7 linked regions of the Oryctolagus cuniculus genome follow. The protein of the gene in region 1 interacts with the protein of each later gene in a biochemical or structural test. Links are inferred from orthologs where the notes say so. Each region holds a gene or a part of one and is shown in the gene's direction. Other genes may lie near its edges. The genes, in order: IKBKG, UBC, CYLD, SENP2, BCL10, NFKBIA and RAB11A.

Region 1 (4,199 bases):
CTTCCAGCTTCTGGTGGCTCTGATTTTTCCTTGGCATGTGGCCACATCTCTTTATTATCTGCTTCTTTTTTTTTTTGACAGGCAGAGTGCACAGTGAGAGAGAGAGAGAGAGAGAGAAAGGTCTTCCTTTGCCGTTGGTTCACCCTCCAATGGCCGCTGCGGCCGGCGCACTGCGGCCGGTGCACCGCGCTGATCCGATGGCAGGAGCCAGGTACTTCTCCTGGTCTCCCATGGGGTGCAGGGCCCAAGGACTTGGGCCATCCTCCACTGCACTCCCTGGCCACTATCTGCTTCATTTTTTTTAAAAAAAGATTTATTTATTTGAAAGGCAGATAGAGAGGGTAGGATGGAGAGAGAGAGATGTTCTGTCTGCCGTTTCACTCCCCAGATGGCTGCAATGGCCAGGGCCAGGCCAGGCTGAAACCAGGAGCCAGGAACTTCATTTGGGTCTCGCACTTGGGTACAGGGACCCAAGCACTTGAGCCATCTTCCGCTGCTTTCCTGGGTGCATTAGCAGGGAGCTGGATTGGAAGTGGAGTAATCAGGCCTTGAACCAGTGCCTATATGGGATGGTGGCTTAACCCGTTACACCACAATGCTGGCCCCTTCTGACTGTTTTCACCTGGCTTTCTTCCTTGCATGTTTTCCTCTGTCTTTTGTCTTTTATAAAGACACTTGTTAATGGATTTAAGGCCCACCTGAATAACCCAGCAAGCTCTCATTTTGATCAAGGCCCTTAGTTTACATCTGCAAAGATACTTTTCCCAAATAAAGTTGCATTTATAGGTTTTGGGGCTACCATGCAGCCTACAGTACTTGGGAGGGAACATCCCCTCCGGCTTGAGGGTCTGTGTAAGGGTAGGGGTCCCAGCGCACACCGATGTCTCCTGCTACAATAATCCTTAGTTTTCTGCCTCTGGCAAAGTTCCTGCCTTAGGTGTGCATCCTGAAGATGGGTGCTGGTACAGAGTCCGTAACCAGTGCTAAGCCATGGCCTGTGCAAGTCTCACAGAGGTGGTTCAGCATCTTCCTTCGGAATGAGGGTGTTTGTGACCTCTTAGATCGAAACCCCATTTCGGCCAGAGGGATCAGCATTTTGCCTTCATGGCCCCAGAGCTCCTGCACAGAGTGTACTTATCCTGCTGGGGATGAGAATTCCCCTGGGTCTCATGGGATGCCTTTGCTGCCTTTCTCGAAGAGCGTGCCTTGGATGAGCAGGCAGCCCTGGAAGAACCAGCTGTGTGAGATGGTGCAGCCCAGCGGCGGCCCGGCCGGGGACCAGGACGTGCTGCCTGAAGAGTCTTCTCTGGGGAAGCCGGCCATGCTGCATCTGCCCGCAGAGCAGGGTGCTCCTGACGCTCTCCAGCGCTGTCTGGAGGAGAACCAAGAGCTCCGAGGTGAGGTGGACAGCAAGTAGGTGGGGCACAAAGTCAGGGGATCTGGTCCTGCTGAAGGCAAGGCTTCTCTCGTGCACCTCTGCGTCTGCTGGGTGTGGGGCGAGGGCACCCCGAGAGCCAGCTTGTGCTTCCAGCGTAGCTACCTTGCCTCCTGGTTCCAGGCGGGGTTCCCTGGGAGCAGACCGAGGTGCATGGCAGGGTCAGTACTGAGGCAGAGAAGGGAAGGAGATGGGAGAAAGCAGGGGTGGGCAGCAGAAGTGGGCTGCCTTGGCTGACCCCCAGGGACTCTGGGGCTGGACTGACACTTCCAGGCTGGACCAGCGTGGCCCAGCCTCAGAGGACCTCTTCCCTGGGAGGGGACTCAGACTTTCCTGGGGTGGGTTGCGGTCTTGTTTGAGAGGGGGGTGCTGTGGCCTGTCCTGGGAAGTGGGTGTGGCCCACCCTGAGAGGAGGTGGTGTTGACCAGCATGAGAGGCATGACCCCTGCTGCAGTGGGGTAGCTGATGCCTCAGTTGTGTCTTTAGTTGGCCATTCATGTCCTAGTTGGCCAGTGGCTCTTGCCACAGTTGTAGTCCCATTCCCCACCTCCTTAAGTGAGTGTTGGATGTGATGTAGGGTCTTTTGCTGATGAGTCACGTGCTCTGTGGCCTCAGGGAGTGGTGCTGGCAGATGCCATGCACGCAGGGAGCAGACCTGGGTCTGGAATGTGTGTCCTCTTCCTAGGAGACAGCTAGCCACCAAGAGACTGCTTGGTTTCCTTGAAGGTTGCATTGGAGAGGCCCCGCCTTTTTTTTTTTTTTTTAGATTTATTTATCTGAAAGGCAGAATTACAGAGAGGCAGAGGCATACAGAGAAAGAGAGGCCTTCCATCCGCTTGTTCACTCTGCAGATGGCCTCAACGGCCAGAGCTGTGCTGATCCCAAGCTGGGAGCCAGGAGCTTCTTCTGGGTCTCCTATGCGGGTGCAGGGGCCTGAGGACTTGGGCCATCTTCTGCTTTCCCAGGCCATAGCAGAGAGCTAGATCGGAAGTGGAGCAGTGGGTCTAGAACCAGCGCCCATATGGGATGGTGGCACTGCAGACGGCGGCTTTACCCACTATGCCACGGCGCTGGCCCCGAGGCCCTGTCTTGAGCACAGAGCAGCAGTGTCTTCTACCTCAGTTCTGTTGACCTCTGGGGCCAGCTAATTCTCTGTGGTGAGGGCTGTCCTAGCCATTGTGGCATGGTGAGCAGTATCCCTGGCTTCTACTCACAGGTGCCAATAGTGCCCCTCCAGTCCCCTGGGAGTCACAGTTGTCCTTGAGTGGGACCCACTGTGCTGGGGTCTTCAGAACAAGTCATGCACATAGAGCTGGCAGCCAGATCGGGGCCTCTGCTCATCCCTAGGGGCCCAGAGCATTTCAGAGCAGTTGTGCAGGGCTCATGCCATGGCCTGTGGTGGCTCGGCTCTTCTGCCTCCTAGACTGTGTGTTCAGCACAACAGCTTTGCTAAGTCTCTGGCAGCAAGTGGAGACTTGAGGCTATATTGCCTCCAACTGGGAAGCTGGATAAAGCTTGGGGGGCAGCATGTGAGACCCCCGGGGCCCTGAAGGTGATTGTCCCCCAAGGTGCTCATGATTGTGTCTATAGGTAGGCTGTGAAACCAAACAAGGGAGGGTACAGTGTTTGCTCAGAACGTTTATGAAGAAACTTCCCGGAAGAGCTTGCCTGTATTCACGTGACATGTCTCAGAGACAGAAAGCAGTTGAGTGGACGCCAGGAGTGCGGGCAGGGGGCCTACGGGAGAGAATGCTGCTGGGTTTGGGGTTTCTTTCTGGGGTGCTGGGAATGTTCTGGAATTAGGTAGTGCTGATGGTTGCATGATCTTACAGCTTCATTAGCTAAAAACCACTGGATGACTATACTTTAAAATAGTTAAAATGGTGAATTTGATGTTACATGAATTTTTACGTCACTAAAAAGAAATTTAAAAGACATTGCACACAAGTTGAGACTCGGGTTGAGTGGGCAGGCAGCAGTGATGGCCAAGGGTTTGGAACATTCAGTGATGTGAAACTACTGTCTACCTCTGTTGGATACGGTTCTGTGGTTGCCCTAGAACCTTGCACGTCACTGATCGCTTTTGTCAGATGCTTCTTCCTCTACCTGGGGTGGTCGCTGGGTATGTGGCTTTCCTCTCCTCTGGCCTCTGCCAGCCACCTGCCGCTGGCACTGATATATGCTCATGGCTTAGTCTGGCGAGAAGAAGACTGCTCTTATTTATTTATTTATTTATTTATTTATTTATTGACAGGCAGAGTGGATAGTGAGAGAGAGAGAGACAGAGAGAAAGGTCTTCCTTTTGCCGTTGGTTCACCCTCCAATGGCCGCCACGGCCGGTGCGCTGCGGCCGGCGCACCGCGCTGATCCGATGGCAGGAGCCAGGAGCCAGGTGCTTTTCCTGGTCTCCCCATGGGGTGCAGGGCCCAAGCACCTGGGCCATCCTCCACTGCACTCCCTGGCCACAGCAGAGGGCTGGCCTGGAAGAGGGGCAACTGGGACAGAATCCGGCGCCCCGACCGGGACTAGAACCCGGTGTGCCGGCGCCGCTAGGCGGAGGATTAGCCTAGTGAGCCGCGGCGCCGGCCAAAGACTGCTCTTTTTTGAGTTTCTGCACAAACACTGTGTCTGCTGCTGCTGCTTAGAGGGCAGGTGTTCTTGTCCCTGTCGAATACGCAGAGGCAGGCACTGAAGCTTAGACAGGCACCTACCTTGCCCCATCAAAGCCAGCAAGGCCACAGTGAAGTCTGCTTTCGTGGCCATC
Region 2 (4,085 bases), on another chromosome or scaffold:
AGATGCGAACTTCAGAAAAACAAAACAAGAACGAAAACACCTGGCCATCACAGGAATCCGTGCTGGCCATCACCAGGGTCTCCCGCTAGCTTGGGTTCCTGCTCTGCATTTTAACCCCCCGGGCCCGGGCATTCCTTGTTTGGGGGTTTAAGGGGTGGAAAAGTCCTCTAACAATGCTCAGGTAGATCTTCCCAGATCCACACAGCCGCAGGTTACCACAGCAACCACACAGCGGTTGTTCTGCCGGGGCTTCTCGGTGACATGACACTTGTAAAACGGTCTTCCCCTCTAAGGAGGGGCTGTGGTCCCGCCTCCGCCCCATCGTGGCAATGGAACATTCTAGAAGAGTCGCACAGCACAGCGTGGGGAGGGGGGGACTCGGGGCACGAGGGGGCAAATCCACCGCTAACGTTTAAGAGCCTCCAGCTCACCTGCTGGTCGACGCCACGATTCTCCCAAACACCAGGACACGACCCCGTGGCTGACCGTGCCCCTCCCCCTTGTGATCACAACGCGAGGTGCGCGTTTCATGCATCGGATCCCGGAAACACAGAGCGCAGCTTCGGTTCGCGTCCGTAAAAAGGCCCAGGTTAAAGCCCGGGCCGCACCAGGCGCCTCCGGCGGCGGCTTCCGGGGAGAGCCTGGGCGGCCGCGACCAGCCGCAACCAGCCAGCGCTGTCGGGGTCCGCCGTGGCTCCCCGCGGGTCTGCGCGCCGGCGGCCCGGGGCCGGGGCCGGGGCCGCGGAGGCGAGGGCAGGATGTGTCCAATCACCGGCCCGGCCCCCCACGAGACCACGGCGGTCACCTCAAACGCGACCCCACAGAAAGCCCCCTCGAGGTCACGGGCCGGGGGGACAGAGCGGGCCGCGCGCGGGGAGGCCCGGATGTGCCCAGTCACGGCCCGGCCCCCACGAGACCACGGCGGTCACCTCAGACGCGACCCCACAGAAAGCCCCCTAGAGGTCACGGGCCGTGGACACAGTGGGCCGCGGAGGCGAGGCCCGGATGTGCCCAGTCACGGCCCGGCCCCGACGAGACCACCGCGGTCACCTCAGACGCGACCCCACAGAAAGCCCCTCGAGGTCGCGGGCCGGGGACAGAGCGGGCCGCGCGCGGGGAGGGGGCGCCGGGCCGGAACCCCCGCGGGCCGCCCACCGACGGGCCGCTGCGGCCGAGGGGACGGGGCGCGGGGCGGAGCCGAAGCCCCCGGCCGCCCGCCCGCTCCGGGCGCCGCCCGGCTCCGCGCCGGGTCTTCCCGCCGCCCGCGCGCCGGCTCCCCTCCCCCAGGGCGGGCGCCCGCACGTCGGCCGCAGCACGCAGCAAACGCCCTGATCCCTCCGCCGGGCCCCTCAGGGCGGCGGCCCCTCCCCTCCCGGGCCCGGCGGTACCGCCCCGGGCTCGACCCGAGAACGTTTTGTGAGGGGGCCGACGGCCCCGGGCGCAGGGTTCCTTCCCGGAGGGCGGAAGAGGCTGAGGAAAGTAGTTCCTTCTCGGCGTTTCTGCGGAGGGATCTCGCCGGGGCGGCGGCTCGCCGTCGGACTATATAAGCGGGCGCCGGGCGCGGCGCAGCCAGTTCCGTCGGAGCCGGAGTTCGGTCGCCTTCATCCTGCGTACAGCTGCCGCCGCCGCCGCCGCCGCCGCCGCCGCCTGGTGAGTGGACCTCGTCGTGCTGGCCGGGGTGGGGGCGGCCCGCGGCCTCTCGGCCGTGAGGGAGGAGGGCGGTGCGGCTGCCCGCCGCGGGCGGGACGCCCTCCCGGGCGGGTAGTCGGCTGGGGTCGCCCCGCAGGCGGAAGAACCGACAAGATGGCGGCGCCGCCGAGCCGGGAGGTCAGGGTGCAGGGCGGACAGGGGCCGGAGAGCGCCGAGCGCCGCGAGGGTCTGAGGAGCGGAAGGCGGCGTCGCCGGGCCGCGTTTGGAGACGTGGGGGAGCGGTGTGGCGGGGCTGACGGGCAGCGCTGGGCCCCGGTTAGGGGCTGGGGAGTAGGGAGGCGCCTCGGCGCGGGGCTGCTCCAGCGGGTGGGGGGCGGCTCGCGCCGTGACGTCACCCGCGTGTTGGCACACAGAGCAGGGCGGGGCTGCCTCCCGGTGTGGGTGGCGTCGGTTTCTGTCAGTTGCAAGACACACGGTTAGGGCCTAGGCGAGATCCTGCTGAGTGGACGGGAACGCGAGCCGGAAGGGGGGAGGGACGGAAAAGCCCTGAGTTCACTGGTCACGTTTCCCTGCTTTCTTCATAACGAAGGGTCTGAGGCTGGGGTTTTGAAGTAATTTTTCAGGTTTGTGTTTGGTGTCCTTTGGAGTTCCTAAGCAAGTTATTAATTTTAATAGTGTAGATAAATAGACGATATTCAGTCTTTAGGAATATTAGTGAATTGTTTGCTGAATTTTTTTTTGTTTCTTTTTGTGTGTTTTCTCATAACAGACAATGCAGATCTTCGTGAAAACCTTAACTGGCAAGACCATCACCCTCGAGGTGGAGCCCAGTGACACCATCGAGAATGTCAAGGCAAAGATCCAGGACAAGGAGGGCATCCCCCCTGACCAGCAGAGGCTGATCTTTGCCGGCAAGCAGCTGGAAGACGGCCGCACCCTGTCCGACTACAACATCCAGAAGGAGTCCACCCTGCACCTGGTGCTGCGCCTCAGAGGTGGCATGCAGATCTTCGTGAAGACCCTGACCGGCAAGACCATCACCCTCGAGGTGGAGCCCAGTGACACCATCGAGAACGTCAAGGCGAAGATCCAGGACAAGGAGGGCATCCCCCCCGACCAGCAGAGGCTGATCTTTGCCGGCAAGCAGCTGGAAGACGGCCGCACCCTGTCCGACTACAACATCCAGAAGGAGTCCACCCTGCACCTGGTGCTGCGCCTCAGAGGTGGCATGCAGATCTTCGTGAAGACCCTGACCGGCAAGACCATCACCCTCGAGGTGGAGCCCAGTGACACCATCGAGAACGTCAAGGCGAAGATCCAGGACAAGGAGGGCATCCCCCCCGACCAGCAGAGGCTGATCTTTGCCGGCAAGCAGCTGGAAGACGGCCGCACCCTGTCCGACTACAACATCCAGAAGGAGTCCACCCTGCACCTGGTGCTGCGCCTCAGAGGTGGCATGCAGATCTTCGTGAAGACCCTGACCGGCAAGACCATCACCCTCGAGGTGGAGCCCAGTGACACCATCGAGAACGTCAAGGCGAAGATCCAGGACAAGGAGGGCATCCCCCCCGACCAGCAGAGGCTGATCTTTGCCGGCAAGCAGCTGGAAGACGGCCGCACCCTGTCCGACTACAACATCCAGAAGGAGTCCACCCTGCACCTGGTGCTGCGCCTCAGAGGTGGCATGCAGATCTTCGTGAAGACCCTGACCGGCAAGACCATCACCCTCGAGGTGGAGCCCAGTGACACCATCGAGAACGTCAAGGCGAAGATCCAGGACAAGGAGGGCATCCCCCCCGACCAGCAGAGGCTGATCTTTGCCGGCAAGCAGCTGGAAGATGGCCGCACCCTGTCCGACTACAACATCCAGAAGGAGTCCACCCTGCACCTGGTGCTGCGCCTCAGAGGTGGCATGCAGATCTTCGTGAAGACCCTGACCGGCAAGACCATCACCCTCGAGGTGGAGCCCAGTGACACCATCGAGAACGTCAAGGCGAAGATCCAGGACAAGGAGGGCATCCCCCCCGACCAGCAGAGGCTGATCTTTGCCGGCAAGCAGCTGGAAGACGGCCGCACCCTGTCCGACTACAACATCCAGAAGGAGTCCACCCTGCACCTGGTGCTGCGCCTCAGAGGTGGCATGCAGATCTTCGTGAAGACCCTGACCGGCAAGACCATCACCCTCGAGGTGGAGCCCAGTGACACCATCGAGAACGTCAAGGCGAAGATCCAGGACAAGGAGGGCATCCCCCCCGACCAGCAGAGGCTGATCTTTGCCGGCAAGCAGCTGGAAGATGGCCGCACCCTGTCCGACTACAACATCCAGAAGGAGTCCACCCTGCACCTGGTGCTGCGCCTCAGAGGTGGCATGCAGATCTTCGTGAAGACCCTGACCGGCAAGACCATCACCCTCGAGGTGGAGCCCAGTGACACCA
Region 3 (4,315 bases), on another chromosome or scaffold:
CAGTGTGGCCAGGTGCAGGAAGTGAGAGGGCTTGTCTTGTGTGAAAGGATTCAGAATACCTCTCCCTCACTCCACTTCCTCTTTTCTTCCCTCCTCCTTGGTATATGGGCAAGCAAAAACCATCTTGAGGCTAATAGTTTCTCCCAGCCAGCCAGCCTGCCTACGACCTTTGAGCCCTATCAGCTTTATTGAAGAATCGAACTCTACAGGGGAACAGCGCTGCCGGAGGCCACTGGAGCCAGACTCCCAACTTGTTGCTTCTGCTGCAGTTTAAGGGTAGACCAAGGAGGAGCGGGAGGGGATCAAGGCTTAGGTTTTCAAAAGAGGTCCATTTCACTCCGGGCGATTACGGCAAGGGAGTTAGTAATCACTTCTATGACTAGTTTTATGCACTCATTGGTTTCAGTTCCCTAGATCTTCAGAAACGTATCGCTTTCCACTGGGGAAATTTGTGTCATTAAATACGCACATGCACACGCGCGCGCACACACACGCACACACGCGCGCACACACACCCCTCCTCCTTTCTCAGTATTAATCACCTTCTTCCATAATTAGTACCTAAAATGTCAAAGGAGAAGGAAGTAATTAACAGGAGTATCCAGTGCAGCAAGTCCCGCTGCGAGGCTCTGGGACTGATTATAAAAAGCATTTCCTTATATATTTTGAGCACTTTTGGGAATCGGATCTGTAACTACACCCAAGTGCTGGCTGGCGTCCAGGGGCGCGGGGCTGGGTGAGGCAGCGTGCGGAGAGGGAGATTCTGGACCCGCGCAGGTGACGACAGACTGTAGCAGGACTCGCAGGCCGCCTCTGGCGGGGAGGAAGACACTCCGGCGTTTAAGCCAGGTGTCGCTGTCACCTCCATTTTACAGATGAGAAAACTGAGACCCAGCTTGAATGCGAGGTCCCCCACAACTGGTGACTAATTGAGAGAGCAGCAGCTTCGAACTTAGGTCTGATTCTAAAGCTTTGCTCTTTTCTGGAACCCTGGAACCCTATTACCAGCTCTCATCCGGGCTCCTCCCCTAGCCTCCTTTTGACAGCTGAGGCAGAGAGCCGAGACCCGAGCATGAGCTTGAGAGGCGGAGCTGGGACTAGCAAAGCGCCCCGCCCCGGCTCCGACATTACCCAATGGTAATGAGGCGTCCGTAGTCTCTCGTCCAATCAGTCAGAGCTCCCCGCCCCCATCCCGTTCTTCTCCGCCCTTCCCCTCTGCTTTCCCTTTGGCTCCACCGAGCTTGACAGAGCGGAAAGTCCCTTCATCCAGCGACGGGCGGGCAGCCATTGGAGGAAGGTCTGCCACAGGAAGGCCCAATCAGGGCGCGCGTAGGAAGGGAGCTCTGGCAGCGATTGGTTAGCTCAGCGGTCGCCCTCTCCGCCCCCGCTCCCTCCTTCCCTCTTGGGCGGTTCGGAGGCGGGGCAGGTGGGGGCGGGCCCAGGTAGCAGGTTCGGCTGCGCGGGGGCCGCGCGTCGGAGGTAAATACTAGGGTGGTGGGTGTGGGGCGACGGGGCCGACCCGGGACGTGGGCTAGGGAGCCTGGGCAAGGGGTTACGTCCCGCCGCTCTAGGTGGGTGAGTGAGTGAGCGGGCGGCCGAGTGGCCGGCGGCCCAGTCCTCTGAGGCGCCCCTCCCCGGCCTCAGGGCGCCTGGAGCCGCCGCGGCGACGGTCGGGCCTCGGCGCCGGCCCGTTAGTTGCCCCGGCCCGCCGAGCTTCCCCGGCCCGCGAGGTGCTGAGCCCACTGACGTCAGCCCGGGCTTCCCCACCCTGGGTCTCCACTTGTCGCCGAGCCTTCCCGGGAGTGCTCGATCCTGAGTGGTGGTGGCAGCTTGGCCGCCGCCTCTGGGACTCCCGGAGAAGAGGGGTCTTGGGGTGAAGACAGTGCGGGACTCAGTCTCCGTTTCTGCCCTGCCTCCCCGTTAACAGACGGGGAAACTGAGGCACGGGCCTCCGGCTGGCCCTGGCCGGCCCCAGCTGACCCCGAGAGCCCCGGGTTGCGGCGTCGCCCGTCCGTGTAGAGGGGCGTTTGGATCGGTCGGTTTCGAGGTGTTTGCGGCGCCCGTCCAGGAAGAGCAGCCGGGGTTCTGACCTCGTTAATGGCGTGTTCTGCTTCTTCTTTCCGTTTCCCGTTTCCAGGTTGAGGATGGTTTTGCACAACAACCTGGAGTTCTGTAGTTGAAAGGTGCGCCCTGTTGCGACAGGTACTTTTTTTTTTTTTTTTTTTTTTTTTAAATCCTATTAAGCGTGTGTGGGGGAAATCATGAAGTCTTGAAGGAGGATGGGGTTTCTGAGTTCGGTGCTCATCTGGGTCAGCTGCTGGGCTATTCGTGTACTTGGCATCCTGTGCCACCCCTTGGCATTTGCGTGTTTTGGGCTGGTTGTCGTCTTCCAGCCAGCAAGCTTGTGGCTGCCCAACCCCCTCGTCCTTGCCACCTTGCTCTCCCCAGTTTCCCCTGGAAAGTTGTATCCTTAGCTAATGAGCAGTCCTATCCTGCTTTTGATTTGGGGCCAATTAAGATTGTTCATTTTGCAAACCCTGGTTCCCAGAGCAAAGCTCAGGCCGGGAGAGGGTGTCCATTCAAGTGGTAGCTTTCTGCACGCCCCCTCATTCCCCAAGTAGATTGAATGGCCCTAACAATTTAGCCTGCCATTCCCCACTGGGGAGTGGGTGGCTTTGAACTAGAACAGTGTTAGCAGGAAATAATTTGTTGGAAATTCCTCTTGAAGTTCAAGTACTGCAAATGCTGATAGCACCCAGACCGCTCTTTAATGGTCTGCCGGAGAATTGGTGGGTCTTCTTGTGCCAAAGGAAGGCGGCCTTCCTTTGGGTGGTACCTCTCTGGGAAGCTGGTAAGACCAGGGCACTTACTATGTAAAACAACGGACACTGGGCAACGATGATGTCTGCGGTTTGGCCGGGTACCTGTGGTTTTGTTTGATTTAAGGAAGTCTTTAACACAAGAAGAGAGAAGAGTAATTGTCTCACTCGTTAAACTGTTAGAACTGTGTTCCTGGATTTCAGAGCGTCATCTTCAATTTCTTACCTTGGTTATATAGAATTCCTAAGCATCACATACGGCGTGAGGCTCCACGGAGGCTACTTCCAGTGAGCCTCACAGCGTTCCCGGATTTGATTGTTCTTAGGTGTGTAACAGTGCAGTGCCGCGGGACTTCCCCATGACTTCCTCTCTCCAGAGTGAAGCTGTAGGCAGACCTCACTGAATCCTCCCAGCCCTTTCTCCTTGCCTCCCTCCCTTCGTTTGTTTAACCTGCAAGAAGATTTTAATTCCTTAAAAACAGGATGAGGAATGAGAGTTGCAGCTGTGGCTCTTATCACTTGACTTAGCCAAAAGTGTTTCGTTCGTTTCTCGCGTGTGGGGTCTGCGCAGGGGACATGGGACATAGGACATGTCAGTGAGTGTAGGATACTGTTCCTTGTTCTTCTGACACGAACGTGTTGGGGAAGGAGCCAGACTTTGCCTATCACCTGATAAATCCCACTTGTTTTAGGGACTGTGTCCTTGTGTCACAAGTTAGTAAAATGAGGAACATGGAAATTAAGTCTCTCTTCTGGTCCTGGAATCCCCATGTTCCTGTGCTTGAACCATTTAAGAATTTAACAGCCAGTTCCTTTAGTGAGAGGTGTTCTTTCTGACGAGGGCAACCATTCCAGCTGCCTAGAAGCAGTTGAAGAAAGGCCCACGGGTCTCCCTTGTTTGTTGTTTGAGCTGGCCTTCCTACTTCTTTGCCATTTATAAATAGGGGCAGTAATTTAGCATTGCAGCTTTAATTCGAATTTAGATAGCCTCCTATGATTTTTGAAACAGGGAGGCTATCTCGGCAGATACAAAAGAAGATGTAGTTCTTGAATTACATCTGTCTTTGTGAGCTGTTGGGAACAGTAGAACCTGGTGACTCCAGCGTGAAATGACACTTGTATCTTCTGGATAGGTTAACCATTGTGAGTTCTCTGTAGCTAGTGATATGCCTTTGTACTAGGTATTGTTTTTTAGAACACAGTGTTCTGGCCTTTGATATGTTTATGTAAAACTTTTTTTTGATCATCTGCTTTTCATGGGAGATGGATAAAATAATTGTGTTTTCCAGTGTTCGTGTTGGTTTGATAATTTTATCTTAATACGTTCAATTCCCCTTTGCTAGAATCCAGACCGTCAGGAAGCTCAGGTAACCAGATATGTTTTCAAATCCAAGTGACCCCGTTTCATGTTCAGTGTTGTCGAAAGCTAAGCCTTTTGTTCAGCATGGTTTTAGGGCTAAGTGTATTACTGTATTTCCAACTCTTTGGTAATCTTC
Region 4 (3,742 bases), on another chromosome or scaffold:
TGGTGTTGTGTTAAACATCAGTTTGGTCTAGTTTGTATTCTTCCCTAGACATCTTCATAAGAGTTAGTTTTAAGGCAGAGTTATACTCTTGAATCATAAAATTTTTTAAAAAGATTTATTTATGTGAAAGGCAGAGTTACAGAGAGGCAGAGAGAGAGAGAGAAAGAGAGAAAGATGTCTTCCAAACGTTGGTTTATTCCCCAGATGGCCAAAACAGCCGGAGCTGTGCCAATCCAAAGCCCGGAACCAGGAGCTTCCTCCAGTCTCCCACACAGTGCATGGCCTCACGGACTTGGCCCATCCTCTACTGCTTTCCTAGGCCATAGCAGAGAGCTGGATTAGAAGTGGAACAGCCAGCACTAGAATAGGTGCTCTAGGCCGTGGCCTTAGCTGCTACGCCACAGTGCAGGCCCTGACTCATAAGTTTTGGAATTTCCCATTCTCTTATGTTCTCCATTTCCAGTGATTCAGAGTAGAGCCTTTTGTATTGTATTGTATTGTATTGTATTGTATTGTATTGTATTGTTTGTTTGTTTGTTTGTTTTTAAAGATTTACTTATTTGTTTGAAAGAGTTACAAAGAGAGAGGAGAGGCAGAGAGAGGTCTTCCATCTGCTGGTTCACTCCCCAGATGACTGCAAAGGCCAGAGCTGCTCCAATCCAAAGCCAGGAGCCAGGAGCCAGAAGCCAGGAGCTCCGGGTCTCCACCTTGGTGCAGGGGCCCAAGCACCTGGGCTATCTTCTACTGCTTTCCCAGGCCATAGCAGAGAGCTGGATCAGAAGAGGAGCAGCCGGGACTAGAACAGAGCCCATATGGGATGCCTGCACTTTAGGCTAGGGTGTTAATCGGCTACGCCTCAGTGCCGGCCCCTTTTGCATTGTTTTTTAAAGATTTATTTATTTAGGGCCTGGCACTCTGGCCTAGCGGCTAAAGCCACTGCCTGCAGCGCTGGCATCCTATATGGGTGCCGGTTCATGTCCTAGCTGCTCTACTTCCATTGTGGCCAATTGTAGAATGAACCAGCAGATGGAAAACCTCTATCTCTGCTTCTCCTACTCTCTCTGTGTAACTCTTTCAAATAAATAAATAAATTTAAAAAAGAGAGATTTATTTATTTATCTTAAAGGCAGAGTTAAAAAGCGAGAGAGAGAGAGAGAGAGGGGTCTTCCATCTGTTGGTTCACTCCCCATGTGGCCACAATGGCTGAGGCTGGGCCTGTCAAAAGCCAGGAGACAGGAGCTTCATCAGTGTCTCCCACATGGATGCAGAGGCCCAGATATTTGGATCATCTTCCACTGCTTTCCCAGGCACACTAGCAGGGATGTTGATTGGAAGTGGAACTGCTGGAGCTTAAACCACAGACAGCGGCTTTACCCGCTGTGCCACAGTGCTGGCCCCAAGCCTTTTGTGTTTAATTGTTATTTATTACCTGTGGAGTAAAAGCTGAAAGAAGAGGGAAACTAAGCCTGAGAGAGGACAGACTGGGGGTGTTTGGAAACTGGGTAAGGGCAACATCCTACTTTCATCCTTGTTGAATATGAAGACTTTGCTGTTTCAGGCCACGGGGAAGGACTAGAAGCTACTGGTTTTCTGGGACCAGTATACCTGGCAGTTAGCTAGAATGAAGAGTGTTGGCTAGGAGTCTTTTTTTTTTTTTTTTTTTTTTTTTTTTAAGATTTATATATTTATTTGACAGAGCTACAGAGAGAGAGAGGGAGAAACAAAGAGAAAGATATCTTCTATCCTCACTCCTATCCTTCACTCCTCAGATGGATGTAATGGTCAGGACTGAGTCAGGCTGAAGCCAGGACCCAGGAGCTTCATGTGGGTGACAGGGGCCCAAGTTTTTTGGCCATCATGTACTGCCTTTCCTAGGCCATAAGCAGGGAGCTAGATCAGAAGTGAAGCAGCCAGGACTTGAATTGGTGCCCATATGGCACGCTGGCATTGTGGGCAGTGGCTTTACCTGCTACCTCACAAGAGTGGCCCCTGGCTAGGTGTCTTGACACTAGTGTGGTATCTGTTCCAAAGTTCTGTATCTAAATAACCTAATTTTAAGGCTTATCGGAGCTTCTGGGGTGCTGACAATTTTATTTGTTGACTTGAAATGGCAGTTACAGGGTGTTCATTTTACAAGTTAATTAAGTGGTACATTAATGTTTTGCATTTTTCTTTTTCCTTACGTTTACCCATTGTAAAGGATATTGCAAAGGAGTCAGATGAGCATCCAGATGGAAGAGATACATAGGATGAGGAGTACAGAGCTTCTGAGCCCTCTGGGCAAATCCACCTCCAGGCACTTCCAGGTGCTCAGCCATCCAGAGGCTCCCTGAACTGTCCTCTGTGCTTTGCAGAGGCCCTCATTACACAGACTTGAATGAAATCATTGGCCATTCTGATAGGCTTTGCCTTCCTGTTTTTGAATTCTTCTATAATTTTTAATAACTTTTTAGGTATAATAGAAAAGCTTCTTAGTAAAAGATTAGCAATGGCTTATTCTCTGTCATGGGATTATGTGTCATAGTTTTTGCTTTTTTACACTTTTCAACATACCTGTTAACTGTATTATTTTTAATTGTGATAGGAGAACTGAAAATACTTTTGTTACTCAGAGAAAGTAGTCTGTGTTCTGTTTCATGGTTTGTAGTTGCCATGGCCTGTGAGCCTTAAGTTTAGAGCTTTTTTTTTGTTCTCCGCTGCAAGAACAGACAGATGTGCTAAATATACTTTATTCATCTGAGGGATTTGCTAATTCTCTTTTCGTTCAAGATAATAGCACTGTTTTCTATTTTATGTGTAATGTATGCTTATATGTACAAGTATTAAACATGTCAATACAATATAGACATTTTGTTGATCAGAGGAGGGGACACCAGCTGGAGCCTGACCTGTCAGAAGAAGTGTCTGCCCGACTCCGCCTGGGTAATGGAAGCAACGGCTTACTCAGGAGGAGAATGTCGATACTTGAGACCAAGGAAAAGAATTGCTCAAGCAAAGAGAGGGATAGGAGAACGGATGATCTCCTTGAACTTACAGAGGTACTGTTCTGTATTGATCAGAATGAGACCTGTTTTAACATAACCTCAGTTACTCTAAACTTGAACGAATGTTTGAAGAATTTCTCCAGGCTAGCATGTTTGAAAAAAAAAAAATCAAGCTCAAGATCTGCTTAGTCACTTTGGTTACATTATCATTAGTGATCTGTGAAGGACTCCTACCATCAAACTCAATGGATTCTTTTTTATTTTTATTCATTTATTTGAAAGAATTACACAGAGAGAGTAAGAGAGAGAGAGCTAGATCTTTGATCTGGTCAGGAATGGGCCAGGTGGAAGCCAGGAGCCCCCTCCGGATCTCCCATGTGGATGCAGAGGGCTAAGCACCTGGGCCATCCTCAGCTGCCTTCCCAGACTCCCTAACAGGGAGCTGGATTGGAACTACAGCAGTCTTGAACCTGAACCCTCATGGGATGTCAGCATTATTGGTAATAGCTTCACGTGCCACACCACAATGCCAGCTCCTATTTATTTTAAAGATTTATTTATTTATTTGAAAGAAGAGTTAGAGGAGAGAGAGAAAGAGAGAGAGAGCTAGAAAGAGATCTTCCATCCACTGGTTCACTCCTCAAAAGGCTGCAGTGACCCAGTGCTGGGCCAGGCCAAAGCCAGGAGCCAAAAGCTTCATCCAGGTCTCCCACATGGGTGCAGGGGCCCAAGGACTTGGTCCATCCTCCATTGCTTTC
Region 5 (4,357 bases), on another chromosome or scaffold:
TGTCACAGGCAATATCTTCACCTGCTATAACAATGACAACTCCCAACCACCTTTTAAAAAAATTATTTTCATTTATTTGAAAGGCAGATAGAGACAGAGACAGAGAAATATCTTCTATCTGTTGGTTCACTCCCCAAAGGCCTTCAACATCCAAGGCTGGGCTACTCAGGGCAAGGAACTCAGTCCAGGTCTCCCATGTCAGTGACAGGGACCCAAGTAAGTACTTGAGCCATCACCTGCAAGAACATTAACAAAAAGCTGGACCAGGAAGCAGAGCTGGAGATAGGAACCCAGGCCCTCTGATATGGGATGTGGGTGTGGGTGTGCCACAAAGATTCTTAACCGCTGCACCAGACTCCCACCCGCAGCCCTACCTCTTACAGGTCCCACCATCTCTTGATGTCACTACACAGGGGCTACTCAAGCTTCCCACACATGAACCTTTGGGGCAGCAATCACATCCAAACCATAGCAACATTCAATAAGTGTTTGTTAAATGAAAGAATGTACTGTTAAGTCAATCGAGTTATACCAAGATGATGGAAGATAAAGCAATCAGCAAAACTACTCGCATTATGCATCACCGTGGAAAAAAACATTCTCATGATATGACAAAAGGTTAATGTGAAAACCAGAGTCCTTGTGTTATTATCAAAACTGTAATGGCCTGGCTTTTGCAACATTGTTCTTTCCTGTCCCTTCCCTTAAATATTGGCTTTCCCAAATTTGTCCTTGGTTCTCTTGTTATTTTTCACTGGTCATCAGCCTCCTCCCATAAAATAGAGAACTCTTACACTGCCTAAAAATATCAATGAGGACTCAACAAATGTTTGAATAATAAAAGAAAATAAATAATAAAAGAAAATAAATGATACATTGTACGCTGTGTGCCAAGTACCTCTAAAAACTTTTCATCTACTCCCAGCAGCCCTGTGAGTGAAGCACAGGTCCCTTACCAGATCAATAAACGCGAATAACTTGCATACAATGAACATTAAATCAGGTATTAAAGCGGTAGGGTTGCGGGTGGTTTCCTTTTCTCTTTCCAAAATTTCTTTAATGTAGGTGTGTGTTCGTGGCAAAGAATATGAAAACCTTGAATGGGCAAACACAGCAACCGGAAACTGTAGAGCACTGTCTGGGAAAAGGGGAGGAACCAACGGCCGACACTCACCGAGGCGAGCAGCCCGTGCAGGCCGCGGGCCCGCCCACGGAAACGATTCCTTTTGGAGAAGTCCACCCGCGGCAGCTCTCAGACGACCTCCGGAGGCGTGGCTTGAGGTGATGTCAACCACGGTGGCCCCACCCAGGAAAGGCTCCAGCCGGGGGCGGGGCAGGAGTGGCCTGGGGCTGGCACCCATTGGCCGCCGCACAACGGGGCGGGCCCTATCGACGGACCGCCTTCCCGAGGGCTGGCGGGCCGAACTCCAAGCTCCGCGTCGCCGCGCCTGGTTTCTGCAGCGCCGTCGGTCCCGGAGACGGAGCCGGAAGCGCTAGGCTTTGAACCCCGATCCCTTCTGCTTTTCAAGGGGTACCCGAATCGCCCACCATAATCTGCCCCTCGTCCTTTCTCCCCCAATATCCCGAGACTGGTCCCCAGTTTGGGCGGGGCGGTGCCGTCAGAGCTCTCAGACCCGGAAGCAGCGCGGGGTCGCGCCTCCGCCATGGAGCCCACCGCGCCGTCCCTCACTGAGGAGGACTTGACTGAAGTGAAGAAGGACGTGAGTAGCCGGGGCGCCGCGGAGGGCTCTGGGCCGGCGGGGTCGGGGCGGGCCGCGGCCCCGCCGGAGAGGAAAGCGGAAACCCAGTGTCGGGGGACTAGGAGGAACCTCCAGGGCGGAGGAACGGAAGGTCCAGGCAGGGGAGGGCGGCTGTGCGCTCTGCAGCCGCGGTGCCTCGGGGGAAGTGACCCCCGCCTCCGGGGACCTGTTGATCCGTGTTTTTAAAATCGCCACGCGCAGAGCTTGAGATCTTGAGATCTTGTCCCGCGGGGCGTTTCTCGGCAGCCCGCTTCTTGCTTGCTGCTCACCCATCCCCGCATGATCCCCTCGGCCTCGCGGGCTCGTGGAGCTGCGTTCTTAAGAGATCGGCGGCTCGGGCTCAGCCCGGATCAGGCTCAGCCCGGGCCGCCGTCTCACCTAAAGCACAAGCTGGACCAGTCGGAGGATCCAGCGGGTGAAACTTTTGCAGCGGGGTCTGGGGGAAGCTCAACAGCTGAAAGCACAGCTTGGAATTCCCCTAGTAAGCAAACGCCCACATATTTAAATACGGGGAGAGGCGTGAACCCACGTTGCTCCGTTCCTTTACAAATCAGCGTTGAAAATATCCAGGAGCTTCTGCCTGGAGGATGCAGAGCCGCACAGACCTTAATATTTATTTGTAAAAAGTGGCCTTGTTGAGGTATTACTTGTTTGGTTTTTCTTTGCCAGGTGAGGCCTGGGTGAGTACTACTGCGAAGGTATTTTATGTTAATTCGAATTAAAAACAAATTCACACCACAGGACTTCTGCAGAATCACTTGTGGACAGGACACAATTCTGAAATGTTCCTCCACCTCCAGTCCGCTGCCCTCCCCGGAGGGTGTATTACTGTGAGCTGGCAGTTGGCAGTTGGCACGACTCCCTGGCAGAAGGGAACGGTAGGGTGGGACCAGTGCCTTAGTTTCCTCACGCAGCAGAGGCCCCCAAGAGCACTTGGCGTGTGTAGAGTGCTGTCCTTGCATGCCCCTGCTGTAGGCTCCTAGTTGAGGTAGGACTACCACAGGTTGAGTACTCCTTATCTGAAATCATTAGGACCAGAATTGTTGCAGATTTCAGGATTTGCGTATCCGTAATGAGAAATCTTGGGGATAGGGACTCAAGTTGAAACTTGAAAATCATTTATGCGGGCTGGCATTGTAGTGTTGTGGGTTAAGCCGCAACCTGCAGTACCAGCATCCCATATTGGAGCACCAAGTCGAGTCCTTGCTGCTCTTTGTCCAATCCAGATCTCTGCTAAGGACCTGGGAAGGCCGTGGAAGGTGGCCCAACTGCATGGGCCCCTGACACCCATACAGGAGACCTGTATGGAGCTGCTGGCTGCTGGCTTATGCCTAGTCCAGTCCCAGGTGTTGTGGCCATTTGGGGAGTGAATCAAGCAATGGAAAATCTTTCTCCCCCTCTCTGGTATCCATCTTATCCACATAATCCGAAGGTAATTTTGTACCTTATGTTTTATATGCCTTTGTTTTGGCTGCCCCATTATTACATGAGGTCAGGTGTGGAATTTTCCACTTGTGTCACAGCAATGCAGATATTGGAGGAGTTCAGATTTCAGAGAGTCAGATTAGGAATGTTCAGCCTATAGAAAGTAAACAAGCATTGTCTCATTCACAACGATTGCCACTAAAGCCATGCATTTCAAGAGATAGGCCTATTATGTTCCACAATTTATGATGTTACACAACTTACAGTGTTCCTACTTAAGCTTTATGACTTCCTGTAAAGGAGATAATGGCCATTCTCCCTTTACAAATGATAAAACCAGTGTGATTACAAATGAGAGGAAATAAGACCTGTACACACATACAGATGGGAGAGTGGCTTCTGGGCCTTTATTTTTCTCTGATGGTTCACTGATGTTATCCATTTCTGTGATTTCAATTTATCCCTGTATCAGAAATATGTATCCTTGGAGTAGGGGTTGTGGCACAGCAGAGTAAGCTATCACCTCGGATACCTGCAGCCCATATCACGGTGCCTGGGATGGAGTCCCGACTTCCTGCTAATGTACTTGGGAGGAAGCAGATAATGAATCAAGTACTTGGATCCCTGCCACACAATTGGGAGACCCTGGTGGAGTTCCTGGCTCTGGCTTTTGCCTGAGCTATTGTTGGTATTTAAGAGTGAGCCAGTGGATGGAAGATTGGTATCTCTCTCTATCTCTCTCTCTCTGCCTCCGCCTTTTAAAAAAAATCAAAATTAATAAACATTTCTTTAAAAAGAAGTAAATATATAACCTGGAGGAAAACTTAAATGGGTTTCAGGAGGTTTGTGAAAAAAAAAACATGTGTTTGGTTTGGTTTGTAGATTTTTTTCCCATGACATTTTCAACATGGTCTGCTGTATGCAGTACCCCCTCTTTAGTTGCTTGGTAGTCATCCCAGTAACCAGCAACTGTGGCAGTGTCACAGTTCTTGTTTCAGGCGTCCACTGGGGGTCTTAGAACATAACTGCCTCAAATAAGGTGGGACAGGTGTACCAACACCCATCCTCCTGGCCACTCCCCCTCGCGCTTTCCTTCTCCTTCGCTTCTCCATCTGATTGTTTACCTCATCTTTTTGATTGCTTTTAATTCAGTTTAATAAATGAAAAATGCA
Region 6 (4,268 bases), on another chromosome or scaffold:
GAGGCCTCCTGCCTGCATCACTGTGCGACCTTGCCTTGATAAACCCGTGTGTGCGGTTCCTAAGCCTGCAGACACTGCAGTCTCTACTGGGAAGTTCTCACTCTAACATGTGACCATTACTACTGAGGGGTTTATTTCTTGATTTTACTTTTTTGCCCTCATATTTTGTCCTAGTGACCCTATCCCCTATGTTCCATATGGGGGGAACAGGTGGAGATCCGAGGAGAGGCAAGGGTTGCTTTGTACCTGATCAGTAAGGCGAAGGTGATTGCCACAACCTCCAGAAACCTCTGCAGAGGCCCCTGGAGCTCATGCTCAAAGCCGATCAAAGCCGATTTGATTACCTGCACCAATTCCAGAAGTAGTTGAATTCAGCCCAGTCTGCCGCTTCGGGGGCCGGAGCATAACCTCTCTAAAGCCAGGGGATTCTCTCAAGAGTGGCACTGCAGGAATGGCTCCAGCTACTGCCCTCTCCCAGAGCACACGGGGGAGCCGCCTGGAACCTCCCGCGGGGGGCCTGGCAGTTACTCTTGGCCATCTTTCAGGCCCAATCCTGGGTAAGACACTAACTGCCACCCATTGGTCAGGCTCCTCCCAATGCTGAAAAATTGCTCAGCTGGGCACTCAGAAATAGGCTCAGGATCCATTTCCTGCAGCACAGACCATGAACTTCGTTACTGCAAGGTTACCTGCAACCCCTCCCACCAAGACGAACTCCTTGCTTAACAAAAAGCAAACCCTTGAGGCCCCACTGAGCGCTGACCCCTCGCAGGGCGAGATCTGTCCCTCCCCCAGCCGACAGGCCTGTTAGTCCCCAGGACGGGACTTGGTTTAAAACCCAGCTTCTCCCCGAGGGGGTCGGGACGCCAGGAGCGCTTGCACCCTACAGGGCCGGGAATCTGCGGGAACCCAGGGGCCGCCCGCGAACTGCACCCAACTCTGGGGAAGACAAACCCCCACGGCCAGCCACCGTTTCCACTCTTGCGCTTCCGCAAGATCCGAGAAAACGGAAAGGACCGGCTGGGCGGCAAACCCCAAAGAGGAACGGCCCGGCAGGTCTGTGTCCTCGGGATCCCTGCAGCAGACGACCCCGAGTGCAATCGGCCGTGGGAAACCCCAGGGAGAGAGGAGGGCCCTGCAGGGTCGGCCTGGCCGCGCGCGGTCCGCAGGGAAGCACCGGGGCGGCGGCGGCCGCCGGGCCCGGAGGACTTTCCAGCCACTCAGCGCGCAGCGAGAAGTTCCCTGGACATGACCCCGGTGGGTCATCCCAGGGAGTTTCTCCGATGAACCCCGGCTCGGAGTTTAGGCTGCCTTTTTTTTTCCCCTAGCAGAGGACCAAGCCAGTTCTCTTTTCTGGTCTGACTGGCTTGGAAATTCCCCGCGCCTGACCCCGCCCCCAGAGAAATTCCCCGCCAGCGTTTATAGGGCGGCGCGGCGGCGCTGCCGAGCCCACAACAGTCGCAGCGCGCCGCCCGCCAGGAGCCGGCGACAGGACGAGGACGCCAGCGCGCAGCCCGCGGCCGAGCACCTGGGGAGCAGCGCCATGTTTCAGCCGGCCGAGCACGCTCAGGACTGGGCCATGGAGGGGCCCCGGGACGCGCTGAAGAAGGAGCGCCTGCTGGACGACCGCCACGACAGCGGCCTGGACTCCATGAAGGACGAGGAGTACGAGCAGATGGTGAAGGAGCTGCGCGAGATCCGCCTGGAGCCGCAGGAGGCGCCGCGCGCCGCCGAGCCCTGGAGGCAGCAGCTCACGGAGGACGGAGACTCGTAAGTGTCGGGGGGCTGAGGGCCGCGGGCCGGGCGGGGGGCGGCCGGGCCTGCAGCGCGGGCCCCGGGGCTGCAGCACAGCCGGGCTGGAGGGGGGGGATGGCCGTGCAGCGCCGCCGAGTCTGCCGCAAAGCTGCGGGGCGGCCGCGCGCGGGCCGGGGCTCCTCTGGGGGCTCCTCGGGCCGGCGGGGAAGGGCGTGGACGGCCCCGTCCCCGCACACCCCGAACCCCGCAGCCCGGCGCTCGCGGCGGGGGGCGGCGCGGCGGCAGGGACGCCGAGTCCCGGGTTGCATAAGGCGGGCGGGCGGGCGGGCGCCGCGCGGCCGGCGGGGGAAGTACAGGGCGTTCCGGGCCGCCGGGAGGGCGGGGCGGCCTGGCCGGCGCCGCCGCGGGGGGGGCGGGGCCCGGAAAGTCCCTGGGCGCCTGCCAGGAACACTCAGCTCATAATAACCCCGCGGAAAACACCGCGGCCCCGGCTCCAGAAACCCCGGCCTTGCGCAATCCCCCGCAGGCCGCGCCTCCCCGGGGCCCCACGCAGTGCGCTCACCGCCCCTTGCGGGGGGTTTTCCCCTCTCTGGCCTGCAGGTTCCTCCACTTGGCCATCATCCATGAAGAGAAGGCATTGACCATGGAAGTGATTCGCCAGGTGAAGGGAGACCTGGCCTTCCTCAACTTCCAGAACAACCTGCAGCAGGTGCGCCTGTCGTCCCCAGCCCTGTGCCCTCTGTGACCTCGGGATGCAGTCGATGTGGCACAGTCCTCCCCACCCCTAGCTCTCTGAAAGAACAGCCACAGGTCCTTACCTGCCCTGGCCTTTCACATTCCAATAAGCCGGTCTCCTGCAGAGTTAAAAGCCCACGGATTGGGTGAGGTCTTTGCGACCCACCCGGGGCCCTGGTCTTTGGCCCCCTGTCCCTGTCTGGGAGGAGCAGCACCCACCCCCGGGAGATGTCTGCGGCTCAGGGGCACTCGGAGGACGACTTTGCGCCGAGGCTTATCTGTGCTCGCTCTCCCACTCGTAGACGCCGCTCCACTTGGCTGTCATCACTAGCCAGCCAGAAATTGCTGAGGCACTGCTGGAAGCTGGCTGTGATCCTGAGCTGCGGGACTTTCGAGGAAACACTCCGCTGCACCTTGCCTGCGAGCAGGGCTGCCTGGCCAGCGTGGGCGTCCTCAAGCAGACCTGCACGGCCCAGCACCTGCACTCCATTCTGCAGGCCATCAACTACAACGGTACGCTGTGCTGTCCCAGGCGGGCGGCGCGGGGGAGGCGGGCTGGCCTAAGGCGTGCAGGGCAGAGCTTAAACTCCCAGCTTGTGAAAGCAGGAGGAAATGAGTATCAAGCGCCTGTCTCAGGCTGCTGGAATGTTCATTCAGAACCCAGATTCGGGCTCCTTAGAATTCAGGGGCCACATGTGCTTGTCCCATGAGTGACTAGGGGGACGGTGAAACAGGTGGTGATGCTCTCTTCCTTCTGTCCGTCTAGGCCACACGTGTCTGCACCTGGCTTCCATCCACGGCTACCTGGGCATTGTGGAGCTGTTGGTGTCCTGGGGTGCTGATGTCAACGCCCAGGTGAGTGCCTCACGAGCCAGGTGGAGTGCTGCTCTTTGCCAGCAACATGTCAGCCACACTGGCTGCACGCAGGAATGCCAGACGCCTCCTAAGCATCTCACACTCCTCTTGGCTCTAGGAACCCTGCAATGGGCGCACGGCCCTCCACCTCGCCGTGGACCTGCAGAATCCGGACCTGGTGTCGCTCTTGTTGAAGTGCGGGGCCGATGTCAACCGGGTCACCTACCAGGGCTACTCCCCGTACCAACTCACATGGGGCCGCCCCAGCACCCGGATCCAGCAGCAGCTGGGCCAGCTGACCTTGGAGAACCTCCAGAGGTTGCCCGAGAGTGAGGACGAGGAGAGCTGTGACACGGAGTCGGACGGCACGGAGGACGAGGTGAGCCCCATCCCCTACCCTGCCAGGCCCCTTCCCTTGAGCAGCCCTGGGATATTGGATAGAGCTCTCCGACTGTATAGAACCCCCCCCCCCCAATAAAAATAAAAGTAGCTTACCCTTCTTTAAGCAGCAAATCCTTCAAGGGAAATGCACTCAGCCTGTCAAGTTCATTGCACGGCGGGTGGGGGGATCGGAGCTGCAGTCGCAGCCAGGGCCCTGGCCTGCGGCCTGCAGCCCCGGGCTGGGCCTTGGAGGTTTACTCTCCTCTTCTTCTTCCAGCTGCCCTATGATGACTGCGTGTTCGGAGGCCAGCGCCTGACCTTGTGAGCACCAGGCGCCTGGAAAGCACGTGGACTTGTATATTTGTACAAAAAGAGAGTTTTATTTTTCTAAAAAAAAAAAAAGGAAAAAGGAAAAAAAATGCCAGGGGTGTCTTCCCGGCCCGAAGCGCTCAACTGTGGTGGATTGGCCCGCGTTCGGCTGTTTTTGTGAACTGTGCCTCGGGGAGAAGAAAGATTAGAATCCAGAGGAAAAACACCGCTTA
Region 7 (3,742 bases), on another chromosome or scaffold:
GGTCCTGGCTACTCTGCTTCCAATCCAGCTTCCTGCTGATGCATTGTGGAAGGCAGCAGACGATGGCTCAGGTGTTAGCCTCTGCCACTCATACAGGAGTTTTGGATGCAGTTCTGGTATCCTGGCTGTTGCAGGCGTTTGGGGAGTTGACTAGCAGATGGAAGATTGATCTTTTTCTTGCTGTCTCTGCCTTTCAAGTGGATGAAAATAAATAAGCAAAACAAAATGAGAGTGGGTGTTTGGTGCAGTGACTGGGACCCCTGCATTCCATATTGGGGTACCTGGGTTTGCGTCCCGACCCTGCTTTGGATTCCGTGAAGCATCAGGTGGTGATTCATGTCTTTGAGTCCCTGCCACTCATGTGGGAGACCTGAATTAAATTCCCAGCTGCCAGGTATTTGGGGAGTGAACCAGCAGTTGAGCAATGTCTACCCCTTTCTCTCTGTCTCTCTGCCTCTCAATTACTGTGAGTAAATAAAAAATTAAAAATGTGTGTGTTTCTGTTTCCAGATACTATCGTGGAGCTGTAGGTGCCTTATTGGTTTATGACATTGCTAAACATCTCACATATGAAAATGTAGAGCGGTGGCTGAAAGAACTGAGAGATCATGCGGATAGTAACATTGTTATCATGCTCGTGGGTAACAAGAGTGATTTACGTCATCTCAGGGCAGTTCCTACCGATGAAGCAAGAGCTTTTGCAGGTTAGTGATTTGAATCCCATGCTATTACAGTGATTCTGTAGTTTTTACTATTATGTCTTGCAGTTTCTTCACTCTTTCACTGAGGGTAGTTGTAATAGTTTCAGAAAAGTAAACATGATTACTCAACAAAGATGATTGTTTTGAAAGTTTGTGATTACTGTATGGCTCTTTAGCTGAACTTCAAGTTACTGAAACACCAAGACTTTGAGTTTTTGTGGGGAAAAAAAAAAAAAAACACAGAAAATAAATGTTGTCCTCTTTTCTGTCCCTTGAAGTGGTAGGTGAAATCTGTTAATGAAGCATGTTCTACCTCCTTTTCCATCAAGCCTGTATTTTACCAATGCAGCTCTAGATGGGTCTAGCCATTGTTAGGGACCAACAGGGAGACAGCTGCTTAGGAGCTGTCTTTGGTCCCATAGAGGATCTGCCTTTCTCTTGGTCCTGCCCCAGTTTTGTTAAGGGCAGCTTATCAGAAAGCAACATCATGCATTCTTAGCTAGTGAAAGTCATGACCTTGCACTAGTGATTATGCTGTGAATAGTTTTCCATAACAGTTTTTAGTTTCCCAGACAAGAAGAAACTTTATTTCAATAATAACAGAATTCTAAAATTCTAAGTGAATACCATAGGGATGCAGAGGACTGTAAGGAATGAGCACAGTTGAGTGTTTGGTAAGTTTACTACATTTTGAGTGATCTCATTCATTGCTATTGGTAATGTTTAGAGTAATAAATATTTAATCAAGAAGCCAATGAAAACTTCAGTCTGGTAGAGTATAAACAGAATGGTGCCCTTTCGGTCCCAGAAGTTGGCACAGTCTTAGATTTTAAAAAGTCATGTTATTTTCTTTTTTGAGAGCTTAATTATATGACATTCTTTCTTTTACTTGTAAAACTTGACAAAACTGAGTTTTTGTGTCTCCCCACAGAAAAGAATGGTTTGTCATTTATTGAGACATCTGCTTTAGATTCTACAAATGTAGAAGCTGCTTTTCAAACAATTCTAACAGGTAAGATTTGCATTTTCAGATTATACCAGTTGGAATTGGAAGTTTCAGGAAGGTCATAAAAGCAGATTGTTCAGGAAGCTATGTATCGCACCATTGGAGAATGACTGTCATTTGAGAACTACTATAGCAAGAGCTGTTTGCAGTACAAAATTAGTTACAGATCTTGTTCATTGAGCTCCAGTCATCCCAATTCATCTTTATATGGGAAAAATGTTTTGAGGCTTATTTGTTCACTTTTGTTATCACAGTCACAGCTGAAGTTATGTTTAAATCTACCTTGATGTGGAAAGATATAAATGTGTTTTAGAAATTCAGTAAAGAATAGAAAAGGCTAGGAAAAAATAAATTTTTAAACAGTTAAGTGAAAAGAAAACTCTGCTGTGATGTGGAAGATGCAGGTTGTCACTTGCAGATAAAATCAGCCAGTGATTGAATATACAAAAGTTCAATTGAAGATTTACTTTATTTGAAAGGCAGTGAGAGAGAAAGAGAGAGAGATACAGACAAGAATTTTCTTCTGTCTGCTGTTCACACCTCAGATGACCCCAGTAGCCAGCCTGCTAAAGTCAGGAGCCTGGAAGTCCATCCAGGTCTCCCACATGGGTGGTAGGGATCCAAGTACTTGAGCCATCATCTGCTGCCTTCCCAGATGTGATAGCAGGAAGTTGGACTGGAAGTAGAGTAGCCAGAACTGAAACCAGTACTGATATGGGATGTGGGCATTGCAAAGGTGGCTTAACCCGCAGTGGCACAATGCCCACTCCATAAACTGTATAGTACGTTTAAGAACTCGTGAGTTAGAATATAGTTTTATTTATTTATTTATTTGAGAGGCAGAGTTAGAGACGGAGGGAAAGGTTCTCTGCACTGGGTCGCTCTCCAAATGGCTGGAGCTGGGCCAGGTCTTCTCCAGGTCTCCTGCACCGATGCAGGGGCTCAGGGACTTGGGCCATCTTCCACTGCCTTCCCAGGCCACAGGCAGAGAGCCGGATTGGAAGAGGAGCAGCCGGGAAATGAACTGACGCCCACATGGGATGCCAGCGCCACAGGTGGAGGCCTACCTCAGCACACCACAGTGCTGGCCTAGTGTATAGTCTTTTTCTTTTTTTTCTTCCAAAGATTTATTTCATTTATTTGAAAGACAGAATTACAGAGAGAGGTAGAGACAGAGAGAGAGGTCTTCCATCCGCTGGTTCACTCCCCAGATGGCCACAATGGCCGGAACTGCGCTGATCCAAAGCCAGGGGCCAGGAGCTTCTTCCGGGTCTCCTACATGGGTGCAGGGGCCCAAGGACTTGGGCCCTCTTCTACTGCTCCCCCAGGTCATAGCAGAGAGCTGGATCGGAAATGGAGTAGCTGGGTCTCGAACCGGTGCCCACATGGGATGCTGGTGCTTCAGGCCAGGACTTTAACCCGCTGCGACACAGCGCTGACCCCAGAATATTGTCTTAATATATAGGACAGTCTTATGTGGTGGTGGTCTTAAAAAGTTTATATGGAGAAATGTTTATTAATGAGTTTCCAGTTCCCAAGTTTTAATTTAATGTTTGTATATAGTACTTGTATTAGAGTTAAGCAGATTTCAGCTTTAAAATACTATTTTACTGTTAAAAAAAAAGTTGGGAATAAAGCCTAGGAATTAAGAACATGGACTTGGAGGCCTGACTTGGGTGCTAGTCCTGACTCCTTCACTTACTGTTAGCTCTAAATCTTAGGCAAGTTCCTTAACCTTAAAGATCTTCTTCATCTGTAAAATTTTGGGGAAGTTCTTTTATTTCTGTTTTGAGAGAGAGTTTGTGTTTATAAAACCTTGTGGTATGATTTCATTTGACTGTTGTGTTGCAACCTATCAGGTGTTTTGTTTCTGAAATTCATAGAAAAGAATGGTGTGTCACTCAGACAACTCTGGGTACCAAAAATGAGCACAAGCTATTGCCTGTAAAATACTTAGCTATCCCGCTACACAGTGAACATTTGATACATTAGTTACTAAATAGCAGTTATGGCATGAGGGACAAAAACTGGTTAA

Evidence for each region.
Region 2: the proteins of IKBKG (region 1) and UBC form a complex in vitro, tested with the Homo sapiens proteins (31 studies listed by BioGRID and IntAct, with this or other methods). The link is inferred for Oryctolagus cuniculus from reciprocal best matches to the Homo sapiens genes IKBKG and UBC.
Region 3: the proteins of IKBKG (region 1) and CYLD form a complex in vitro, tested with the Homo sapiens proteins (3 studies listed by BioGRID, with this or other methods). The link is inferred for Oryctolagus cuniculus from reciprocal best matches to the Homo sapiens genes IKBKG and CYLD.
Region 4: the proteins of IKBKG (region 1) and SENP2 form a complex in vitro, tested with the Homo sapiens proteins (2 studies listed by BioGRID and IntAct, with this or other methods). The link is inferred for Oryctolagus cuniculus from reciprocal best matches to the Homo sapiens genes IKBKG and SENP2.
Region 5: the proteins of IKBKG (region 1) and BCL10 form a complex in vitro, tested with the Homo sapiens proteins (3 studies listed by BioGRID). The link is inferred for Oryctolagus cuniculus from reciprocal best matches to the Homo sapiens genes IKBKG and BCL10.
Region 6: of the proteins of IKBKG (region 1) and NFKBIA, one has a biochemical effect on the other in vitro, tested with the Homo sapiens proteins (15 studies listed by BioGRID and IntAct). The link is inferred for Oryctolagus cuniculus from reciprocal best matches to the Homo sapiens genes IKBKG and NFKBIA.
Region 7: the proteins of IKBKG (region 1) and RAB11A are reported together in a solved structure, tested with the Homo sapiens proteins (2 studies listed by BioGRID, with this or other methods). The link is inferred for Oryctolagus cuniculus from reciprocal best matches to the Homo sapiens genes IKBKG and RAB11A.

Annotation. Positions count from the first base shown.
Region 1 is NC_091453.1:132,763,946-132,768,144, forward strand, and holds the start of IKBKG (NF-kappa-B essential modulator), read left to right. Parts: upstream 1-1,210; coding exon 1,211-1,397; intron 1,398-4,199. UniProt on the Homo sapiens protein: Regulatory subunit of the IKK core complex which phosphorylates inhibitors of NF-kappa-B thus leading to the dissociation of the inhibitor/NF-kappa-B complex and ultimately the degradation of the inhibitor.
Region 2 is NC_091452.1:5,126,932-5,131,016, forward strand, and holds the start of UBC (polyubiquitin-C), read left to right. Parts: upstream 1-1,285; 5' UTR 1,286-1,650; intron 1,651-2,104; exon of another isoform or gene 2,105-2,273; intron 2,274-2,419; 5' UTR 2,420-2,422; coding exon 2,423-4,085.
Region 3 is NC_091449.1:34,289,008-34,293,322, forward strand, and holds the start of CYLD (ubiquitin carboxyl-terminal hydrolase CYLD), read left to right. Parts: upstream 1-1,398; 5' UTR 1,399-1,479; exon of another isoform or gene 1,480-1,571; intron 1,572-2,137; exon of another isoform or gene 2,138-2,202; intron 2,203-4,315. UniProt on the Homo sapiens protein: Deubiquitinase that specifically cleaves 'Lys-63'- and linear 'Met-1'-linked polyubiquitin chains and is involved in NF-kappa-B activation and TNF-alpha-induced necroptosis.
Region 4 is NC_091435.1:95,274,737-95,278,478, forward strand, and holds part of SENP2 (sentrin-specific protease 2), read left to right. Parts: intron 1-2,861; coding exon 2,862-3,038; intron 3,039-3,742. UniProt on the Homo sapiens protein: Protease that catalyzes two essential functions in the SUMO pathway.
Region 5 is NC_091438.1:85,908,500-85,912,856, forward strand, and holds the start of BCL10 (B-cell lymphoma/leukemia 10), read left to right. Parts: upstream 1-1,366; 5' UTR 1,367-1,664; coding exon 1,665-1,721; intron 1,722-4,357. UniProt on the Homo sapiens protein: Plays a key role in both adaptive and innate immune signaling by bridging CARD domain-containing proteins to immune activation.
Region 6 is NC_091443.1:40,158,374-40,162,641, forward strand, and holds the start of NFKBIA (NF-kappa-B inhibitor alpha), read left to right. Parts: upstream 1-1,336; 5' UTR 1,337-1,543; coding exon 1,544-1,770; intron 1,771-2,355; coding exon 2,356-2,464; intron 2,465-2,792; coding exon 2,793-3,003; intron 3,004-3,256; coding exon 3,257-3,345; intron 3,346-3,463; coding exon 3,464-3,724; intron 3,725-3,840; exon of another isoform or gene 3,841-4,003; coding exon 4,004-4,051; 3' UTR 4,052-4,268. UniProt on the Homo sapiens protein: Inhibits the activity of dimeric NF-kappa-B/REL complexes by trapping REL (RELA/p65 and NFKB1/p50) dimers in the cytoplasm by masking their nuclear localization signals.
Region 7 is NC_091443.1:88,897,164-88,900,905, forward strand, and holds part of RAB11A (ras-related protein Rab-11A), read left to right. Parts: intron 1-510; coding exon 511-704; intron 705-1,632; coding exon 1,633-1,713; intron 1,714-2,898; exon of another isoform or gene 2,899-3,742. UniProt on the Homo sapiens protein: The small GTPases Rab are key regulators of intracellular membrane trafficking, from the formation of transport vesicles to their fusion with membranes.